Linked DNA regions of Macaca fascicularis. The protein of the gene in region 1 purifies or fractionates together with the protein of each later gene. This does not show direct contact. Links are inferred from orthologs where the notes say so. Each region holds a gene or a part of one and is shown on either strand. Other genes may lie near its edges. The genes, in order: PTPN1 and ABCD3.

The links.
Region 2: the proteins of PTPN1 (region 1) and ABCD3 purify together in Homo sapiens (affinity purification with mass spectrometry; 3 studies listed by BioGRID and IntAct, with this or other methods). This does not show direct contact. The link is inferred for Macaca fascicularis from reciprocal best matches to the Homo sapiens genes PTPN1 and ABCD3.

Annotation. Positions count from the first base shown.
Region 1 is NC_088384.1:106,672,074-106,675,892, reverse strand, and holds part of PTPN1 (tyrosine-protein phosphatase non-receptor type 1), read right to left. Parts: intron 2,264-3,819; coding exon 2,126-2,263; intron 1-2,125. UniProt on the Homo sapiens protein: Tyrosine-protein phosphatase which acts as a regulator of endoplasmic reticulum unfolded protein response. Mediates dephosphorylation of EIF2AK3/PERK; inactivating the protein kinase activity of EIF2AK3/PERK.
Region 2 is NC_088375.1:139,934,595-139,938,413, reverse strand, and holds part of ABCD3 (ATP-binding cassette sub-family D member 3), read left to right. Parts: intron 1-882; coding exon 883-974; intron 975-1,060; coding exon 1,061-1,133; intron 1,134-2,341; coding exon 2,342-2,405; intron 2,406-3,819. UniProt on the Homo sapiens protein: Broad substrate specificity ATP-dependent transporter of the ATP-binding cassette (ABC) family that catalyzes the transport of long-chain fatty acids (LCFA)-CoA, dicarboxylic acids-CoA, long-branched-chain fatty acids-CoA and bile acids from the cytosol to the peroxisome lumen for beta-oxydation.

The DNA.
Region 1 (3,819 bases):
TGGGATTACAGGCGCCCGCCACCACGCCCGGCTAATTTTTTTGTGTGTGTTTTTAGTAGAGACAGGGTTTCACCATCTTGGCCAGGCTGGTCTTGAACTCCTGGCCTCGTGATCCACCTGCCTCGGCCTCCCAAAGTGCTGGGATTACAGGAGTGAGTCACTGCGCCTGGCCGTTAAAATGTATTTTAAAACTGAGTAAGAAGCAAGCATGCCAAACTCAAGTTTTCTTTTAATCCTTGAAGGTGTGGGTTACCGCCCACTGATACCCTCCCTCACACCTGCCCACATCTTTCACAAGGAATTCACTCCAGCCTTGTGCTAGAACAGACAGCCATGGCTGAGAAAAGCCTTTTAAAAACAAAGTCTGTTGGAGCAAACAGATCCTAACATCAAAACCTCTGAGCTGGCTGTATTCATTCTGCCAAGCAAAAAGCACACAGCTCTTCTGCTCTGTTGAAATTCAGTTTCCCTCAACAAGCAAAGAGTTCCCCAGAAGTCACTCTTAATGTCAGGTTTGCAAACGCTAAAAAGCATTTTTTTAAAAGTCTACTGCATAAATCCTCTAGCACATTCCAACATGCTGCCCATGTTACTCCGAGAATCTTCCAGAAAGCGCCTCCATCCACTGTACTCAGAGCCCCTCTGCCCTACCAGGGCTATGGCAGGACTGCTGACTCTGGAGCGGTCACCACCAGAGGGCAGAAAGCACTCGAAGCAGCTGCACTGCTACCGTCCTCAGGAGCCAGGCAGCCTGAACCCCTTCCCTACTTCCTGGTAACCTGTGCTAAATTCTAGATCTTACTTTCACTATTCTATTTTTTTTTTTTTTTTTTTTTGAGACAGGGTCTTGCTCTGTCACCCAGGCTGGAGTACAGTGGTGCAAGTATAGCTCACTGCAGCCTTGAACTCCTGAGCATGAGCAATCCTCCTACCTCAGCCTCCTGAGTAGCTGGACTATAGGGGAGTACCACTATGTCTGGCTAATTGTTTTTGTTTTTTTTTTTTTGTAGAGACGGGGGTCTCGCTATGTTGCCCAGGCTGGTCTTGAACTACTGGCCTCGAGAGTAATCCTCCTGGCCTCAGCCTCCCCAAGTGCTGGGATTAAAGACATGAGCCACCACAGCTGGTTTACATCAACTATGAAATGAATGGCAGGAACCATGATGATTAAAAAGTAGTGCTTGAGAAGGGGAGGCATGGGGTCACCCAGAAGCAGATCCCTCCCCACCCACACAGCCCTGGAGCCCCAGTCCACATGGTCTCCCTACAGCTCCATCTTCCCTTCAGACAAAGCCCGTGCTACACACCCACAGTAACTGCTAACCCTTCCCACACAGGACCTCCCAGAACCCTGGCAAAACCTGCGTTTGACAGAAGAGGAAACGGAGACACCGTGACGAGCTGGTAAGGTGGGACCAGGATTCCACCCCAGTTAGGTTCCAGAGGTTGGTGGCTTGCCATCTTCACTGGCGCCCCCAGGTGCTGCCTCGCACTCCCTCCACTGTTCCCCAGAATGAAACGAACACCTCCAAGTTACGGATCCAGGGGAATTATTCTGAAGCCCCAGGAGCAGAGCCTTCAGTGGTGGTGCTGCTTACCACAATGCCTTGCCATGTCCCAAGACCAACTTTTACCAAGCAAGTAGCTGGTGTTATAAACTCTTCCCACAACAAATAAACCCAATACCAGGCCTAGAAAACTTCCACTAGCTATAAAACTGGAGTGAGACCCCAGACCCCTTCTTCCCTCTCTTCAGACTCAAAGACTGAGGACCACAAAGAAGGCAGCATGCTCCGCTGGGACCTGCAGACTGCCGCTTCGGTCCCTCTGCAGCTGCACAAGCAGGAACCAGTCTTTTGGGTCAGAAACTCTCCTTTCCCTAAGAACCGGTGTTAACTGTTGTTAAAGGTCAGAGAGAGCACTGTGGTTTCCACCCTTTCTGGGCATTCCTGGGCACTTGGTAGGTGCACAAGTAAGCTCCGCTCACCTCAGTGCCAAAACCACATCTTGCTCGGGGTACACAAAAGCCAGGAACACTGGCAGGAGGTAATATCACCCAAGGGATAAAGGAAGAGGCATCTGAACCAGTAGCCGCCTGAAGTGCTGAAGTGCGTGCCATACTCACTGTAAGGTTTTCCAATTCTAGCTGTCGCACTGTATAATATGATTTGATATCTTCAGAGATCAATGTTAATTTCAAGTTTGTGTCTTCAAAGATCATTTCTTTTTCTTCTTTTTGTGGCCAGTACTGTGCGCATTTTAACTGGGGGAACAAATAACAGTGAATTATTGTGAGCAACCATTTTCCTATGGCAGGAGGCCTGGAGCACATCCCACAAGCTTCATGATAACCCAAAGACCTGGGGTTTTCTGAACATGGAAGCCATGGTCAGCACAGATGCCTGCTTCATGGGGAGATGGGGGTGGGGGCACGAAGCTGCTGACTGGGGCAGGTTGTGCAGACAGGGCTCAGACTTCCAAACCCATCAGCTCCCTGGTCAAACACGGCAATGGGGTCCTGCAGGGCTCTGACGCTTTCTCACAGTCTATGAGGTGAAGCCAGATTGTACAAAAGGCTTTGAAACTCCTCTATGTAGCCATTTCAAACATTACACAGGACCTGATCAGGCTGCTGGCATAGAATGTAGGTGCTTTACTCTGCACAGAAAACTCACAGGCAATTAAAAATAAAACTGGGAGAGACGGCAGGTGAGGCCCTTTGGAAAGGCTGAACGGTTGTCACCAAATGCAGACTCCCTTTCAGAGAAGGCTTGGAGACGGGCTCCCCAGGGCTTGCCCTTTCATTCTGGTTTGGTTCAGTTCATTCAGAAAAATACTTTTGATGTTCTATTTTGATAATCTGAGACACTATTTGATGTTCTCGATTTAAATGTAGCTTGTTAAATTTTTCTTTAAAACAAGCAAATTTATGAAAATTTGGTTTCATTTAGGGTCTAAGACAAAAACGGACTCGAATTTAGTGACATTTACTGAATCTGCCTCAGTTATGCAAACGTTTCTGCTCATGGATAACTGTTGTGGACAAAAATGGCAGATCAACAGGGGCAGAGCTACCGGGTCAGCCTGACCATGTGCCTGGACATAGGGAAGCTCAAAGCCCTTATGATTTTCAGCGGAAGAAATGTCAGCGTGTGTCAACAGCTCTTTGGCAAATGACACTTGCAGTTCACGTGCACTGACCCACTCAATACCTCCTCTGGGGCAAAGGATGGTGTGGGTGAAGGGAACCACTTCAGGGCCAGCTGTCTGTGAGGAGAGACTGCTGTACCCAGCAGTGACAAGGTGGGCCACGGAGGAGGGCTGAGGGGGAAATGCTACAGACAGGCAGCAGGAATTCAGAAGAGGGAAATGTTTCAGGTCAGCCAAAGTTACAGGAAAGAAAGATCAGAGAAAGCTCTATGCAAGAGGCAGGTTTTGAAAGATGACTAGGATTTCCTAGGCAGTGACTGCAAATAAGCCAGGCTGAAAAGAGCAGCTGGAGAAGGGGCCAGCAGAGGCCCAGATCACAGCCGACTGGCAGCAGGCCCACGGACCTGTGGCATCATCTGGGGGCAATGAGGAGCCAGGAAGCACTTGAAGAGGGTGAATATAGAACCACAAATGCCTATTGGTCCTGCTCTGCTGAAGCTGGAAGCTGCCCAAAAGACAAAACCAAAGCAAAATGTGGGAGAAACAAATTAAGAAACACTAGGTTGTGATGCCAGCATCACAGCAAACTTCTCAGTGCCAGACCAGAAGCCAACAGAGCTTTCTGAAGAGTCTGGACACGGGCCTGTCTGAAGTCTTAGCCAGTTTCAT
Region 2 (3,819 bases), on another chromosome or scaffold:
CCTCTGTAGGTGTGTATGTCTTTCTCTTCCCTCCCTCCCTCCCTCTCCCTGCCTTCCTTTCTTTCTCTTTTCTCCACTTTGTTGAGGTATGATTGACATATAAGAAACTGTTCCTATTTAATGTATACAATTTGATGAACATGGGGATAAGTTATACACCTGTGAAACCATCAAGATCATAAGCATTCATCACCTCCCAAAGTTTGCTTTAGGAGGTTTCTGCTTGTTATTCAGAGAAAAATCCTGTTTTCTTCTTCGATGCAGAATACTTTCTCTTTGGCAATCATGGTCATTTTTGTTATCTCCAACCTCTCGTTGTTAGTTTTGATTTTTCTCTACTGCCACAGTTATTTCTATCTAATAATAAGAACTCTTCATCTTTCCCCTCTTGAGAGTAAGAAAGAGGGAATCTTTCAGATTCTTCCATTTGCAGGAAGGCAGCATGCATTCAGCATACATTTAATGAATGCCTTCCTTGGATAGAAAGACCAACTTTATACATGGCTTTATAGGCCGCTTCAACAAGATCTCAGAGTCCATACTTCTTGGGTCTAAGGAATATACTAGTGTAGTGGTCCTGTTGTAGTATACAAGAGAAACCTCCTGAAAATTCTCAGCAAATAACTGTCTTGACTTGGCTATTAATGAAGTATCTGTTGAGTTGGGGATCCTATGGAAACCTCTTTCTTCATCCCTATATTCCTGCTTTCCTACTGAAACATAATAAAGCATGCATGCTATCATTAATACTTTATGTTGATGAGACTGTTAGGTTACTTCATTTATACTAGATTATAATTTTAGGAACTTATGTTGGTGTAAAATAAAAGATGTGACAGTAGTCTGGAGTTTTGATTATGGTTTCCTTTTCTAAAATTTTAGGTTTACTGCTCGGATTACAGAATTAATGCAAGTACTGAAGGATTTAAATCATGGCAAATATGAGCGCACAATGGTCTCACAACAGGAAAAGGGTAAATATGAGTGTCACAGTTTAAGGTCACAATTTTAAGTGTTTGCTGACGTAATATGATGCTTTAATACCTATTTTCCATTTAAGGTATTGAAGGAGTACAAGTCATTCCCTTGATACCTGGTGCTGGAGAAATCATTATTGCAGATAACATTATAAAGTACGTACAGAAAAAGGTTCTTTAGCACCATAAATGTTTGTTAAACTTCATAGTAGTCTTTCTTTTTCAGCTTACAATTGCTTAGTGTTTAAAATTATTTCTGCTTTTTTGAAAAACAGCTTTGAGGTATCATTGACATAAAAATTGCGTATATTAATATTTAAAGTATACAACTTGATGCTTTGATATCTGTATACGTTGTGAAATGATTACATTTAGGCTAATTAATTTACCTGTCACCTCTACATAGTTACCATTTTTGTGTGTGTTTGGTGAGAATTTAATTTAGATGTGTCTTAGCAAATTTCAGGTATACAATGTAGTATTTTCTACTATTGTCCCTGTACAGTGTATCTACAGGATTTATTCATCTGGCATCACTGAATTGTTGTGCCGTTTGACCGATATTAACCCCATTTCCTCTCTCCCTACCCCCCGGCAACCACCATCCTACTCTCTACTTCTATGAGTTTGGCTATTTTAAATTCCACATACAAGTAAGATCATATAGTGTTTCTCTTTTTGTGTCTTGCTTATTTTGCTTAACGTAATGTCCTCCAGATCCATCTATGTTGAAAATGGCCCGGTTTCCTTCTTTTTTAAAGGTGGAGTAATATTCTATTGTATGTATTTTGTGTGTGTGTGAATATATACACACTATATACACTATATTTTCTGTATCCTCTCATCAGCTGAAGGACATTTAGGTAGTTTTCATATACGGACTATCGTGAGTAATGCTGGAGTGGACATGGGAGGAAGATTCTTTTTGAGATACTGATTTTATTTCCTTTGCAAATGTACCCAGAAGTGGGATTGCTAGGTCATACAGTAGTCCTACTTTTAATTTTTTGAGGAACATCCATACTGTTTTCCATAATAACTGTACTATTTGTAGTCCCACCAACAACATACAAGGTTTCCTTTCTGCATATCTTTGCCAACACTTACCATTTGTCTGTTTGATAATAGTCATCCTAACAGGTGAGAGGTGACATCTCATTGTGGTTTTGATTTGCATTTTCCTGATGACTAGAGATGTTGAGCACCTTTTCGTATGCCTGTTGGCCATCTGAATTTTTTCTTTTTAAGAAGTGTTTAAGCCCTTTGCCCATTTTTTAATCAGATTATTTGTATTTTTGGTATTGAGTTGTATTAGTTCCTTATATACTTTACAGTAGTTCTCTTTTTTTGAATTTCCTCTATAGGTTTGATCATGTTCCTTTAGCAACGCCAAATGGAGATATTTTGATCCGTGACCTTAATTTTGAAGTAAGTTTATTTATTTATTTATTTTTTGAGACGGAGAAGCTTAAATCATCTTTAAAATGTGAACTGAAAAAAGGTTACCTGAATATTTAAATTAACTTTAAGGCTCGACTTAGTCTCTGAATCCACAGAATTGCTTTAAAAAGTAAGTCTTTGAAACACTTAGAAATCTATTTTTCTTAATTGACAGGACTTCAAAATTTCAAATACTACTACCAAAAAACTTTTTGTAAATGAAGTTTATGTCAAGAAAGCCATAGAAAATATAGTAAATTGGAGTCTCCAGTGTAAAATGAATATTTAAACACAAATATAATTTTAGTCTCTTTACATTAAAAAGAAACTTATGATGTGGTTGGTATTATTGTGACTGTACAGGATGATTTGTACCTATAAAAACAAAATACAGACTGTTTTATTACTGATGAAAACAGGGGAAGAGTCGCACAGTAGTGCTACAAATAGACACTCACCTAAAACAAGTAAAATCCCATGCCAAGTAAATACTGATGTTGATTCAATCTACTGTGCTAATGAAATGGGATATGGCAGACCAAATTAAAAAGAAAAGACAAAAGTTGAATGTTTTTGTATGATTGTGTAAGACTGGCAGATTTAAGGGTTACTATTTAGGTTTTCTCTATGTTGTGGCTTTATGAATGGTTCAGATCCAGAAATCTTCATAATTAGTAACAAATTCCTATCACATAGGCTATCTTCCCCATTCTAGACACCATTTCTCTAGAACAACACTTTCCCGTAGAACTTTCTGCGATGATGGAAATGCTCTATACTTTCACTATCCAGTAAAATAGCCATGTGTAGATACTGAGCATGTGAAATGTTACTAGTACAGCTGCAAAACTCAATTTAAATTTTAATTTAATTAATATGATTTAAAATTAAATAGCCACATGTGAGTAGTGGCTATGGTATTGGACAGCACAGCTCTGGAATTCCTCTCCACATGCTTATGTGCATGGCCATCTGTAGTTTGTGTTTTATGTGGGGATTTTTTTTCCTACTGCTGTCTTTGAAGGAATATTGTCTGATAGTTTATAAAATAAAGAGTATGATTATTGGACTTGTTTTTAATTTGTTACAGTCTTAAGGAAGTGTTCAGTTTTCTGCTCTTAGTAATTTGTATTAAGCACATGTCTACTTTCTTTTCAATGAATTATAAAAATGAAAATTGTTAGTTATGCAAAGTACTTTGAACTTATTCAACAATGAGTAGTCTATTATTATCATATTTATTCCAAAGCCAGGAAATACATGGTGAAGTACAGAAAATGTAAATGTAGTTGATAAATATCGACTGGCTCCACATATCGCAGAAGTGTTTTCTTACGTAGCTCCGGGTACTTCAGTCACTTGAATGTTCCTTTGGCAAAGTAGGTAACCAGGCTTCATTTCC